Linked DNA regions of Elephas maximus indicus. The protein of the gene in region 1 interacts with the protein of each later gene in a pairwise test. Links are inferred from orthologs where the notes say so. Each region holds a gene or a part of one and is shown on either strand. Other genes may lie near its edges.

Region 1 (7,574 bases):
GGGAGTCTCTTGTTCATCACTGTATCACCAGACCCTGGCAAGACAGCCTTACATAAGTAACTACTGGATGAATGAGTACATACCAGTGACTCTTCTTCCTTCCACCTTTGTCATTTAAACAGGTGAAACAATGAACAGTTCTCTTATCTGATATCCTAACAATTCTCTACCTTTCCTGAGGAAAATGAGTCAAAAAAAAAGATATCAACCACTCTACAGTTTCCATACTGAGTCGATTCCATAGGGTTTTCAAGGCTGTGACCTTTCGGAAGCGGATCGCTAGGCCTTGTCTTCCGATGCATCTCTGAGGTGGGTTCCAACCACCAATCTTTTGGCTAGTAGTCAAGCGCTTAACTACTTGCATTACACAGGGACTCCTACTCTATGCTTAGAGGAAAACTATCTACCATTTCTTTGATCTACCTTTGATATGGTAAAAGGTAAGGAAATTAGGCCAGAAATTATAATGGCTGGTTCTTCCTGACCACAGTTTCACAAAAAAGTTTTTTTCTATTGTTACTGTCTTAGGGTTAGGTGATTCAATTTCAAAATGGCTATCCTGGTACATTAAACTAATTTTTCATATACAAATAATGGTACTCACCTCACAGGTTTTGGGTGTCCTCTCACAAAAAACTTCTATTTTAATATCACCTACATCTGTATGCAATGTCACAGACTAAAAGGGAGAGAGAATTTGAGAACAAGTAAGATTTCTTCACGTGACTTTATGCACTGTATTGTTTCCCTTACTGGACATCCAGTATGACAGTCTGAGTAAAAGGAGACGGAAAGAAATACTGCATCAGAGATGACGTTCACATAACAGCTCTAGAGATGAGTTATACTTCTTCCCTAAAATTTATTCTAACAGCAGGAAAAAATACCATAAGATAGATATAAATGATAAGATAGATGTAAATGTTAAAGTAAAAAGGTATTTATGCTAAAAATTGGAAACAAATATTGAGATAGAAATTAGTTTACATTTGAATTTTTTATCAGTAAAAACAAGTGTTATGTTACTATTATTGATTTAAATGGTAAATCACCAAAACATAGTTTCCACCATATCCCTTATGTAATTTTATCCTGAGAAACAGGGTTAAAAATCAGTTTTTCTTTCTTTTAATTAATTTTTTATTGTGCTTTAAGTCAAAGTTTACAAATCAGGTCTCTCATACAAAAATTTATATACACCTTGCCATACACTCCTAATTGCTCTCCCTCCAATGAGACAGCACAGTTCTTCCCTCCACTCTCTCCTCGTGTCCATTCTGGTAGCTTCTGGCCCCCTCTGCCCTCTCATCTCCCCTCCAGACAGGAGATGCCAACATAGTCTCATGTGTCTATTTGATCCAAAAAGCTCGTTCTTCACCAGTATCATCTTCCATCCCCTATTCCAGTCCAATCCCTGTCTTAAGAGTTGGCTCTGGGAATGGTTCCTGTCCTGGGCCAACAGAAGGTCTGGGGACCATGGCCTCCGGGGTCCCTCCAGTCCCAGGCTGACCATTGAGTCTGGTCTTTTTACAAGAATTTGGGGTCTGCATCCCACTGCTCTCCTGCTCCCTCAGGGTTTCTCTATTGAGTTCCCTGTCAGGGCAGTCACCGGTTGTGGCTGGGCACCATCTAGTTCTTCTGGTCTCAGGCTGATGTAGTCTCTGGTTTATGTGGTCCTTTCTGTTCCTTAGGCTCATAATTACCTTTTGTCTTTGGTGTTCTTCATTCTTCCTTGCTCTAGGTGGGTTGAGACCAACTGATGCCTCCTAGATGGCCGCTTGCCAGCGTTTAAGACCCCAGGCACCACTCTCCAAAGTGGGATGCAGAATGTTTTCTTAATAGGTTTTATTATGCCGATTGACTTAGATGTTCCCTAAAACCACGGTCCTCAAACCCCCGCCCCGGCCACGCCAGCTCTCAAAGAATTCAGTTTATTCAGGAAACGCCTTTGCTTTTGGTTTAGTCCAGTTGTGTTGACCTCTCCTGTATTATGTATTATCTTTTCCTTCACCCATAATAAAACGTATATGTATTTTTTTTTTTTTATTATCTATCAATTTCTTTCTTGACTAAAGAAACAAGTATAAAAAGCATCAAAGAATTATCTTAGGTGAGGGGAAGGACAACACACAATACAAGGGAAGTCAGCACCAGTAGACGAAACCAAAAGCTAAGAAGTTTCCTGAACACAACGAAACACTTCGAGGGACAGAGTAGCAGGGACAGGGGTCTGGGGACCATGGTTTCAGGGGACACCTAGGTCAACTGGCATGACAAAGTTTAGTAAGAAAATGTTCTGCCTCCCACTTTGGTAAGTGGTGTCTTAAAAGCTAGCAAGTGGCCATCTAAGATGCATCAATTGGTCCCAACTCACCTGGAGCAAAGGAGAATGAAGAGCACTAAAGACACAGGAAAATGTTACCCCAAGAGACAAAAGGGTCCATCAATCTGAGACCAGAAGAACTAGATGGTGCCCAGCTACCACCAGTGACCACCCTGAGAGGGAACACAACAAAGAGTCCCTTACAGAGCAGTAGAAAAGTGTGATGCAGAACTCAAATTCTAATAAAAAGACCAGATTTAATGGTCTGAGACTAGAGGAACCCCAGAACACATGGCCCGCAGACTCTCTGTTAACCCAGAACTAAAACCATTGCTGGAGCCAACTCTTCAGACAAAGATTAGATTGGATTACAAAACGTAACACTCATGAAGAGTGTGCTTCCTAGTTCAAGCAGATACACGAGACTAAATGGGCACCTCCTGGCAGGCGGCAGGTTGAGAAGGCATAAGGGGATAGGAGCTGGTTGAATGGACACAGGAAACACAGGGTGGAAAGGGAGAGTGTGCTTTCACATTATAGGAATCGCAACTCATTCCAGAGAGGGGAGAAAACTATTTTGAGGCTTTCTTTTTTCTTCTCCTTACAATAATATCTAGCAGTCAGGAGGTATGGCCAGGTAGAAGGTAGAGGATAGGTGGGGGTGGGGCAGGGCACTATTCTCATTGCTTATCTTCTACTTCAAGTTAGAACCCACTGCCTTCAAGTCCATTCTGTTTAGCAGTGAAGCACTTTGACCACTGTGCTACCAGGGCTTATCATACATGGTTATACTGTTCTGCTCCTCCAACTCCCCCTTTCCATCTCTAATAATCTTTTTTCCATAAAAGGTAAATTCTGTGCATTTTAAGTGAAAACATTAAAGAATTAAAAAATAATTTTGCTGTTTTGTTTTTGTTTGGCATCATTCTACACTGTATGCCTCTACATCCTACTTTTTCTCCAACTTGGTGCTGAAATTTTCATGCAGTTTTATTTCCCTTGACTGGATTTCTAGAACTTACACGCATTCAAAAATATTCTACAAAACTTACCATTCTTCTTAATGGTTTCAGGAAGCACTGTTACTTAATGTATCACAGTGCTTCTGAGAAAGTGAGTCTGTTTGTAAAAAACAAGAGCAAAAAAGAATTGTTTTTTTCCTCTTAATTCACGCTTGCTTATTGTATATTAATAAGAAAAAGCCTCAAAGAGCATTCCCCACGTAATACAAATCTGGTTATAGACGTAGTGAGGAGGTCCTGAATATACTTCCTCTCCCTCACTCTTCTTCCAGAGCCTCCTTGTAAGTCTTCCAACAAGTCAGGCACACTCCCCCTCCTGAGGGTGTCAGCACTGGATGTTCCCTTTCCCTGGATCCCTCACACTTAGACATTAGTACTGCTGATTCCCTCACCGCCAAGTCTGCTCAATGTCAGGTCTCATTGACCTGTAAATCCTATTTAAAATTGTTTTAACCCTCCTACCTGCCCTATTTCCTTTTCCCATCACACTTATCACTAACATACTATACACTTTCCTTATTTAAAGTGTCTCTTTCCAACACCACCTCAACCCCAAATGTTCACTCAGAAGTATCCCAAGAACTAAAACACCCGTTGTCGAATCGATTCCGGCTCACAGTGACCTATAGGACAGAATAGAACTGCCCTGTAAGGTCTACCAAGGAGCGCCTGGTGGATTCGAACTGCCGACCCTTCCGGTTAGCAGCCGAGCTCTTAACCACGGTGCCACCAGGGATCCAAGAACAAGAACTAAGATAGTGTCTATCATATAGTTAGCGCTCACCAAGCACTTGAATAAGCGAATGAAAGGATTAAAACCGTCCATTCTTAATTCGGAGCTCTGGTGGAACTGTGGTTAACAGGTTGCTAAACAAAAGGTCTGCAGTTCGGATCCACCAGCCCCTCCTTGGAAACCCTGTGGGGCAGTTCCAATCTGTCCTATAAGGTCGCTATGAGTCGGAACCGACGCGACGGCAACGGGTTTTTTATACTTCACCATTTCAGTTAAGCAAAGCCGTTGCATAAAACAGAAGATGGAGCCGGTGATGTTCGCACGACTCCGGTCGCCGGAAGTTATAGTTTTTTGGCCACCGGAAGTTGGACGCGGGGCCCCTAACAGAGGACGCTCTTTCTTACAAGTTCCTTCGGTCCTCCGTTCTTACCTGGCTCAAACCAAATCGACTAGAAAAAGGGAACCATGGGACACGCTTGACAGTGAAAGGAAAAAAAAAAAAGAAGCTCTTAATAATTACACTAAAACAAGAAGCGTAACTCGGAGCTATCCTGGGCCACCTGTATAAGTGCCTTGGTCTCAGCTGTAAAACTTGACGGACCACTTCCGTTCAACTCCTGTCCTCGGCCCAGTCTTACAACACGGGGAGCTACTGCGCAGAGCCGGAAATGGCGTTTGAGAGGCATTTCCAGGACGGGTGAGTAATGTACTATCTAGAAACCTGCGTGGATTTTCGATATCTTAGAGGTAGAGCCTAGTTAGGAGTTGATTCCGACTCATAGTGACCCTATAGGACAGAGCGGAGCCGCCCTATACGGTTTCCGAAGCTGTAATCTTTAGGGAGCAGATTGCCTCGTCTTTATCCCGCAGAGCCGCTGGTGGGTTCTAATAGCCCACTTTTCGGTTAGCAGCTGAGCTCAGAACCATTGCGGCCACCGGGGCTCCAAGTTAGGGTAGACTTCGGTTGTTGTTGGAGTGTAGGGAAAGGAGCGGAAGAGGAGGCCTTGCAGAGAACTGGCCTGTCGCAGGGGTGCATGGGACGGGGGTCCTGACTCCTGGGGTTACTGGCTGTGCCACCTGGCGCTCTTCAGTGCCCAGGAAAAGGTGCTGCGGTGGAACTGACATGAAGGGTAGATGAGAACCTAAGAGGGAATAGTTTGCAGGTTGGGAAAAAAAAAAACCTTAATGTTAGTAAACAGTAGCAGTCACAGTGTTTACTCTGGGCCGGTCATTGTTCACGGCACAATACCTTTTGAATTTTCGTGACAATCATATCAGCTGGGCACTATTATTTACATTTCTTTTTTTCAGACGGGAAAACTGTAAAGGTAATTTGCCCGTGGTTGACATCTGTGCCTTTGGGGTTCAGTCTGGCTTCAGAGTCAGTGCTCTTAACCACCATGCTGTGCTGCCTCTCATTGTCGTTAACTGCGGCTTGAAGCCAAGTAGCCTCGCAGTATCCTAATCTATGCAATGGGAATGTTCTACCATGTTTCCACGGTCTCTTTCAAATATAACAGTAAATAACTCAAAATCAGCGTGGTGGCCTACTGGGACTTCACTTTACCTCTTGCTAGACTTAGAAGAATCTAGCGAGTGGATGTGGTAACAGAATCATTAGATCTTCCAAGTCCCCAGGCTCGCGTTGTTTTTCCAGGCCTTGCACATAAGTATCCATATCCTAATGAAATACTTTCTGCTGTAAAAATGTTGGAAAAAAGTTTTTTTCTTGAAATCATTGGGTTCTGAATGTTTCATTACATTTACAATTGGCTGTGCTTTCTTGTTAAGGAGCCCTGGCGGAGCAGTGGTTAAGTGCTTGGCTGCAGCCTAAAGATGGGTGATTCAGACCCACCAGCTGGGTCTGCAAGAGGAAGATGTGGCAGCCTACTTCCCTAAAGATTGTTGTAGTTAGGTGCCATTGAGTCATTCTGGCTCATAGTGACCCTATAGGACAGAGTAGAACTGCCCCATAGGGTTACCTGTAGGGCAGAGTAGACCTGGGTTTCCAAGGAGCAGCTGGTGGATTTGAACTGCCAGCCTTTTAGTTAGCAGCCATAGTAGCAGAGATCTTAACCACTGTACCACCAGGGCGTCTCCCTAGAGATTACAGCCTTGGAAACCTTATGGGGCAGTTCTACCATTTTCCTATAAAGTTGGTATAAGTCAGAATTCACTAGAGGGCAGTGTGTTTTTTAATATCAATCGTGCATACCAGAAGATGTTTTTCTTCCAAAACCAAAAATTTTTATAGATATTAAATTTAAGAACAGAGTTGACAGTGTTATTTTTGTGGTTATTTGGTTAATCATTTACTGATTTTAATTTGTCACCTTTCATATTTTAGAGCCAGCAAATTTTTCCCAGCTCCACAATTTCCTTTTTTAGTCCTCTACCTTTCCTTTTTTTGCCAACCTTTCCAATTTTTGTTGGCTGTAGATGTCTAGAAGGCTTACAGGCTGTGTAGGCAACGTACCTACACCGTTAGCTCTCCCACCTCTTGAGTGTGGCTTTTGTGCTGTAGGTGTTAATGGTTCAGGAGCAGAAGCTCCTGCCTTTTCCTGGCCATGACCCTGCCCATTCAGAAGAGTGACCCACTAATGCATCCCATGATACTGGCTGCTGATAAAGCAATTGATTTTTTAAAAAATATTATTATTATTTTGGTAAAGCACTTTTGCCAGTATGTACCACCCTAACTCCAAATTGGAAACCCTGGTGGCGTAGCAGTTAAGAGTTACAGCTGCTAAACAAAAGGTCGGCAGTTGGAATCCACCAGGCTTTCCTTGGAAATCCTATGGGACAGTTCTCCTCTGCCCTGTAGGGTCACTATGAGTCAGAATCGACTCGATGGCAACTGGTTTGGTTTTGGTTTTGGTTTAACTCCAAATTAAGGAGCCTGGCGGTACAGTAGTTAAGCACGCTTGGCTGCTAACTGAAAGATTTCAGTTCAGACCTACCAGCCGCTATGATGGAGAATGATGTGGCAGTCTACTTCTGTAAAGATTTCAGCTTTGGAAACACTACGGGGCAGTTTTACTTTGTCCTATAGCGTCGCTATGAGTCGGAATTGACTCCATGACAGTAGGTTTGTTTTTTTGGTTTTAACTCCAAATTCTGCAAGGAAGGAGGAGACTGCCATTCTGTGAGTAAACATTAGTGCCTACCTATGCTGGTGATACTGGGATTTAGAAAACATAGTTCTTTAATTTTTTTTTTTTTTTGCTTTCAGTGAAAGTTTACCATTCAGCTTCTCCCACAAAAACTTATACACTCATCGTCATATGATCCTAGTTGCTCTTTCTACAATGTAACAGCACATTCCTTCTCTTGTCCTTGTATTTCCCGTGTCCATTCAACCAGCTCCTGTCCACCTCTGCCTTCTCATCTCACCTCTGGACAGGAGCTGCCCACATGGTCTCATGTGTCTACTTGAGCTAAGAAGCACACTCCTCACCATTATCATTTTATGTCTTACAGTGCAGTCTAATCTTTG
Region 2 (7,405 bases), on another chromosome or scaffold:
TAGAACAACTCCCAGAGCTCAGGAAAGCACTATATTTAAATTACAGTTTAAATATGCACATCAGAGCTGCCAAAGGGAGAGAGGCATAGAGCAAGGTCTGGGAGGGTCCCAAATGTGAACTTTCTGTGGTCTTCTCCCCATGGAATCAGGACTCATTACCTCCTGGCACATAGATGTGTGACAATATGCAGAGTATTCCCAACCAAACAAGCTCGGTGTCCAGAGTTTTTATTGGGGTTTCATTATGTGTTGCTGTTATTGTTTTTGTTAGGTGCCATCGAGTTGGTTCTGACTCATAGTGACCCTGTGTACAGCAAAATGACACACTGCCTGGTCCTGGGCCCTCCTCACAATTGTTGTTATGCTCGGGCCCATTGTTGCAGCCACTGTGTCACTCCAGCTTGTTGAGGGTCTTCCTTTTTTCCACTGACCCTCTACTTTACTAAGCATGATGTCCTTCTCTAGGGACTGATCCCTCCTGATAACATGTCCAAAGTATATGAGACAAAGTCTCATCATCCTTGCTCCTAAGAAGCATTCTGGTTGTACTTCTTCCAAGAAGATTTGTTCGTTCTTTTAGGCAGTTCATAATATAGTCAATATTCTTCTCCAACACCACAATTTAAAGGTGTCAGTTCTTTGGTCTTCCTTATTTATCACCCAGCTTTCACATGGATATGAGACGATTGAAAACACCATGGCTTGAGTCAGGCCCACCTTAATCTTCACAGTGACATCTTTGCTTTTCAACACTAGAAAATATTATCGAAGGCTTAAGGAAAACTAAATTTTAAAACGTGTTATTACTTAAATTAATTGAACATTAATTTTAAAAAGCTTTCTAGCATACACACATATTTTCCATTATTTACCACAATGTTTCAGTAAAATCTGATGTGCCTTTCTGCTTCGAGTGATACTACAGAGAATGAAGGGATAGGGCAAAGAAGAGGACCATGGGTGAGACTCACATCAGTCTCTCCACTGATGTCTGTGGAAAAGGGGCTGCATATCCTATGGAGGGGACTATGTGTAGGATGCCAGGTGGCAGCGAATGTGAAGAGGCACTGTGGAGTGGGGCACCCAGTGGTAAGAAGCTACTTCCCAGTGGGCATCTCAGGAAAGACATAAATTTTCCACTTTTCTAAAACCATGGTAGAAGTTAGTTTTTGATGAGGGGGCTATATATATATATATATGTAGTATACACATACCATTTGTATATATAACTGAATCAGAAAACAGACTGCTGTTACTCACAGAGCATCTTAGCACCAGTTCCCCATGTCCCAGTTCTGCAGAGGGTGATGAATGAGGGCCAAATATTCACCTGTGTATACAGCAGAGTTTGACCACAGGGCAGAAACCCCAAAATTTTGATGAGACTTGGAGTTTATATAGAACGGCTGGTATATCTGCCCCTTCTCACCCTGGAGAAAGAGAGAGAGAAACACAGAGACCTTTACTATCTAGTGTAAGCAAATCCCATCTAGGGAGTGGAGCAAAAAGTTCCTAGGTTTTTACAACCCTAGAATATAAGCAAATGACTCCAGGGAAGAGGGGAAAGGCATCTCTAAGTTTTATTACCTTTAGGATGTGAGCAAATGGCTCCGAGAAATTCACATCTCTAATTTCCAAGGCATGTTTGCCATTTAGTCGTAAAGACCATAAACCAAAAAACCAAACCCTTTGCCACTGAGTTGATTATAACTCATAGCAACCCTATAGGACAGAGTAGGACTGCCCCAATAGGGCTGCCAAGGAGCAGCTGGTAGATCCGAACTGCCAACCTTTTTAAGCAGCCATAACTCTTAACCACTGTACCACCAGGGATTCACGCAGAAAAATGAAAATATTCATGGGGATTGTCAACAGGGGAGAAGCAGAATTTAGGGTTATACTATTACAGTAGCAGTGGCTATAATTGCCTATATACTTATCTGTAGTCCTCACAGGGTTTGTATCTTGCTTGTTGTTGAATCCCTAGCACCCAACACCTAGCATAGTAGGTGGTTTTTTTTTAAGGAATTTTATATGTTTAAGGGAAGATGTACCCACTGGAATTCTTTATGTGATGACCCTGCATTCTTTAGTTTTCTACTAAAGCCATTTTCAAATTTGAGCTGTTGAGCCTCCGAGAATATATATCTGCAGGCATCAGTATGAGAAATCTGTTAGTCACTGAAATCATTTGCTTCTATTTGTTATAAGGTGGTTGTCCACAGAGGGGCAGTAAAGCGCAGTGGTTAAAAATTCAGATCCTGACTGTAACCCCACTGCCTATTTTTGTTATTTTTATATTTTAGAATATCATAATATGGCATAAAAATTTTAAATTTTGTAGGGAACTTGTGGACTCCCTGAAGAATTTGAAAAACTGGACGAACTATCTTATCCAGTTATAAATTGACACAAAAGCTCTGGCTTGCCATGCTCTGTATTTAGGAAAGTGGCATTTTGTCTTGCAGAATTTTTTTTTTAAGGTACTTACTAGTTTTTCACGGCTTCTGAGTTTTATGTCATACTCAAAGAGGCTTTTCCTATTCAAAGATAATTAAAAAAAAATTCTACCACATTTTCTTCTAGTACTTTTATTATTTTATTGTTCAGATTTAATTTATCTGCAGTTTATTTTGGTGTAAGGTGTGAAGTATGATTCCAATTTTATTTTTCTTCCAGATGGCTACCTAGTTGTTCCAACACCATTCACTGAATTCATCACTTCCCCACTCATTCAAAATGCCACCTTCATCATATTCAGAATTTTCTATGATTTGAAAGACTCATCTTTTTTGTTGTTGTTCCGTTGAGTGGAAAGGTCTTCATGTATAATTTTTAACTACTTCAGATTTTTTTTTAATATTTTTAAAGTTGTATGTAATCAACTATGATATCCAAACAAAATTTTTATCCTCACTTTATGAATTTGTCATTACCAAGCTCATTTCAGCTTCTTTCTTTAAGTGTACTGCACACAACCTTCAAATATTATGAACATTTCTCTCTCCCAGCTGTCACTACACCAAACTACATATGTTATATTTCCCTAAATCATCTTGCTGTGCTCTTTGCAGCTCTTCTGTACACTGTTGATGTCTTCATCTAACAAACTGCTCAGAAGTTACCTTAGTTATTTTAATGAGGCCTCAGAGAGAAAGCCTATCATCACTACCTAGTTCATCCCCAAAATGGCCATTAATTTCCATTAACAATGGACAGCCTATGTTTCTGGAAAACAACAGATTTCGAAGAGCTATGGCAGTTATTTATTGGCTCTTTAAACAATCCACCTGGGGAAAAGTGTCCGACAAAATGCCAACTGCTATTGTGGGATATTTTTTTTTTTTTTTGCTATTTATTCCAGCAAAATGTTTCAGACAATGAAGAAAAAGGGTTGCCCTGTACTAGGTCTTGAACCCAAAGAACTGTTTGCATAGATAGTCATCCAAGATCCATCACAGCCTCCACCTCAACAGATGCTCTTTCAAATGTTTCATAATTCTCTTCAACAACAGTCAGTCTCCATTTAAGGATAGGAGGACAATGCTGCCAGAGATGGCTCTGCTGGCATGAAGGCAGGCTTACAATTTCTATTTAAAAGCTGGACCAAGATATGTTTGGCATCTGTTGTCTATTTAAACTGCAAGTTAAGATGAAGAAAAATTACTCTCCATCCTGAATGGGCCCTTGGTGTCTCAATCACAGACAAGAGAGTGGTAAATGGTAACAGAGTCAAAGAGAATGAAATGAGCTTAGGAACACTGAGGTTTGAGGGACAGACTGTGAAGCCGGTCTGAAACACTTGGAATGAAAAGAAAAGCCTTGGGCAGGGGAAAAGAGACCCCTCACCATTCCACTTCCTAACTCGAAGGTTCTGATTAAGACAGGCATTGGGTATATCCCCGCCCTCTCTTCTACTCAACACCCTTCCCTCACCTCAAGGTCTTCCACCTCAGTGATGCCCTTCCCCAAATCAGCCGCTTCCCAGCGGCCTCTCTTCAGCTCAGACCAACCCCCACTTCAGGACGTTCTTGCTCACAGCAGCCTGCCCTCACCCCAGCGCGCCCACCTCAGCACCCCCTAATCTCGGCACGTCTCCTCAGTGCCTCCACCTCAGAGTGCGCGCCCTTACTTCAGCATCTCCCTCAGCTCAAGGAGCGCCCCAGCCTCTCCTCCCACCAAGGGCCCCCTCCTCAGTACATTTCCTCCACCTCATCGCCCCTGCCCCATCCCAGCGAGCCTCCCCCACTGCAGGGAGTCTCCCCTCAGGAGGCTCCTCTGGCAGCAACTCCCAGCCCCGCCCCCTGGGTCAAGCCCCGCCCCTCGCCCTCCGACCCGCCCACCGTGTCCCGCCCGCTCCCGCCCCTCAGCCCTCGCCCCGCCCACGTTGAGCGCGCGCCCGGGGCCTTTGTCTTTCGGCGCCAAACTCTCAGGTCAGCGACGCGCGGGGTCGCCCTTCTCTGCGTTCTGGGTCGGATCCCAAATCTCAAGAGCTGAGAACCGGAAACCCAGGGTGGGGGCGAAGGGAAATCACCTTGAAAACCTCGGGGAGAGCGTTGGTACGAGGGAGGTGTGTGGCAAACGGGAAACCGAGTGAAGAAACTGAGGGGAAACTCGAGGCTTTAAGAAAATACAGTCCGCTTTTTCGCCCCTTTCCTGGGGTCGTGGCTGGGGCCTGGGCTTGTGACTTTGTGCGCTCCGCCACCAGCCCCGGGGAGGAATCTCGGTGGTCTTAGAGGATCTCCGACAGCCTTATAAAACTGGACCGAAGTCTTAAAGAAGCCTCCTCGGCCCTTCCCTCGTATGAGGGAGTCGGATGTCAAGAAAATGTCCACAGGGGGGCTCTGGCTGCCAGGTCCCAGGTCGCCTGTCACCTGGTGACATCAAAGATGACATGGACCATGCTCCCCCAAGATACGCAGCCCTGTCTCCCTTAAACCGAGGTGGCAGGTCACGCGTAAAACCGTAGAAACCAAGATGTCTGGGAGCCCAGTAGAGGGAACTGTTCAGTCTGTCAGTTGCTACTTGAAAGAGATAGTGAACAATGTTTTCGTTTTATCAAGAAGAAATGGATATATATTATATATATATATTTTTTTCTCCCTTCGATTCAATGAGGATAGTCAATGTGGAATTTTGGGTAACCATTTTTTTTATATATATATGTAGCTATCTGGTGACACTGTGGTTAAGATTTCAGCTGCTAACCTAAAGCCAGCAGTTGGAATCCACCAGCTTCTACTTGGAAACCCAATGGGGCAGTTCTCCTCTGCCCTATAGGGTCGCTAGGAGTTGGAATCCACTCCAGGGCAACAAGTTTGGGTTTTTTTACGGCTTTATCTGAGGGACAGTATTCTAGAAGATTCCGTGTAAACTATACCACATTTGCCTCTTATACCTTTCTGTTTAAAAGTACTGGGTGGTAGGACCATACCTCTACAATAGTTTATTTCCCTTCTGCTGAGTTCCAACCCCTGACTTTGGTATTAAGTGAGGAGATGGAATAAACCAAGAAAACTTGATTATTAAGCCCACATTTTATTGTGAGGAACCTAGTCATGTAGATTCCAGACAGTTAAAACAACTGCTACAGTGTTAAATCAAAGACTCTTTAACAACTTATTGGCCCTAATGTTATAATACTACAGGTATCCACCTTATTTTTAATCTCAAAAAAATCACGAAACTGGTAAATTATAAAACAACATATATCTAGTGTCGTATGAAACAAAAAGATACATGTTACAAGAGAAGAACGAATTCATAATCAGCAAACAGGAATGCATTCATCATAAAAAAAAAATATGAGAAAAATAAAATCTGTTCATTCAGGGTAGGCCATGTTCTAGGTGCCAGGGAGCATACAAGGAAAAATGGCATAAGGTCAAGGTTATTACAGTGTTGTTAAACATAAACATGAAAGGTTAAATAGCAATATGCAATTTTAAATATCATTCTAAGACAACAATAAAGATATCAGACAGTCCGATTAACTGTGCTATGAGAAATGAAAAAGATGACAAAAAGTGAGCAGTGTTAATGGAGAGAAGAAACAAAATAAGACCAGCCCACCGCCCCCCCCGCCACAGACATACACAAAAGTAATGCCACTTGCCCAACAGAGAGAAGATGGCCCTGCCCATTCATTCCAAACTAAATGTTTCTCTTCTTTTGCTTCTAGTGACTTTGAAATGAAATCAAGGAGGCCTCTGGGCAAAAGATGTTTTACTATACCACCTCTGAAATAATTTCTTATTTTCCTAGAATTGTTCTGCTGCTCGGCTTTCAATATGAAGGAGGATCAGGTTGTGACGGAAGAACCAGGATTCCAAGATGATGAAGTATGTTAGGATGCTGGACGATAAGTAGACATTTAAGCATTCCACAAAAATTAAGTTCTGTCTCTTTTAGCTACTATTTTTAGAAACTAAAAGTAAAAATAAAACATAGCTCTAGAAAGAGGTTGCATTATAGATACATAACAGTACTATGTCGAGGGGTGCTAAGATTAGCTGTTTAGCAACTGGCATGAAGGTTATTTTAATAACTGAACAACTGGTATGGCTATACTAGTACCTATGCATTGTCGTTATTAGTTATCGTCATGTCTATTCCGACTCATGATGACCTCATGTGTGCAGAGTAGAGCTGTTTCATGGGGTTTTCAAGGCCGTGACCTTTCAGAAGCAGATCACCAGGCCTGTCTTCCAAGGCACCTCTGGGTGGGTTTGAACCACCAACCATCTGCCTGATAGTCGAGTACTTAACTGTGCCACCCAGGGATTGGTACCAAATAGCAGCCTGGTCTTAGAAGGAGTTCAGGGTCTGGTGGGGAAGAAAGTTGAAAAAACATGTTTAAAATAGGTTAAATGCTGTTCCACTGCTTTGGATAAAAAAAAGCAGTGGAACAGCATTGGATAAAGGCCTTAAAAATTTGGTAAAGACCATGACAAAGGTATAAGTTTCCCAGCCCTTTCAACGTTGGAAGTTCTTCTAAGTATGTAACAATGTGTGAGAAAAAACATTATTGATCCTACTTCAAACCATCTAGAGAAGTGAAATTTGAGGCATTTTGGAGTGACTTATTTTATTGAATTAACTCTTTAAAAGACATGAAACAATTGGATATGAAAAATCAAAACTCATTTTTTTGTTTTATCACCTTTAGGAATCTTTGTTTCAAGATATTGACCTGTTACAAAAACATGGAATTGTAAGTATTTTTTGATTTTGTGTTTAGTTGTTCAACTCAGGGTTTCGCAGCACAGGCCTATTGACATTTTGGGCTGGATAATTCTCTGTTGTAGGGGGCTGGCCTGTGCATTGTATGGTGTTTAGCAGCATTCCTGGCCTCTACCCACTCACTATGTGCTAGTAGTGAGTAGTGCCCTCCAGTTATGAAAAC

What was found.
Region 2: the proteins of NIF3L1 (region 1) and DMC1 interact in binary tests that used the Homo sapiens proteins (3 or more experiments, as listed by UniProt). The two-hybrid records come from large-scale screens. The link is inferred for Elephas maximus indicus from reciprocal best matches to the Homo sapiens genes NIF3L1 and DMC1.

The regions. Positions count from the first base shown.
Region 1 is NC_064824.1:99,577,136-99,584,709, forward strand, and holds the start of NIF3L1 (NIF3-like protein 1), read left to right. Parts: upstream 1-4,572; 5' UTR 4,573-4,746; coding exon 4,747-4,775; intron 4,776-6,470; exon of another isoform or gene 6,471-7,223; intron 7,224-7,574. Other genes in the region: PPIL3 (peptidyl-prolyl cis-trans isomerase-like 3), read right to left, coding at 605-679, 4,130-4,171. UniProt on the Homo sapiens protein: May function as a transcriptional corepressor through its interaction with COPS2, negatively regulating the expression of genes involved in neuronal differentiation.
Region 2 is NC_064822.1:182,465,745-182,473,149, reverse strand, and holds the start of DMC1 (meiotic recombination protein DMC1/LIM15 homolog), read left to right. Parts: upstream 1-4,391; 5' UTR 4,392-4,433; intron 4,434-6,264; 5' UTR 6,265-6,290; coding exon 6,291-6,341; intron 6,342-7,168; coding exon 7,169-7,213; intron 7,214-7,405. UniProt on the Homo sapiens protein: Participates in meiotic recombination, specifically in homologous strand assimilation, which is required for the resolution of meiotic double-strand breaks.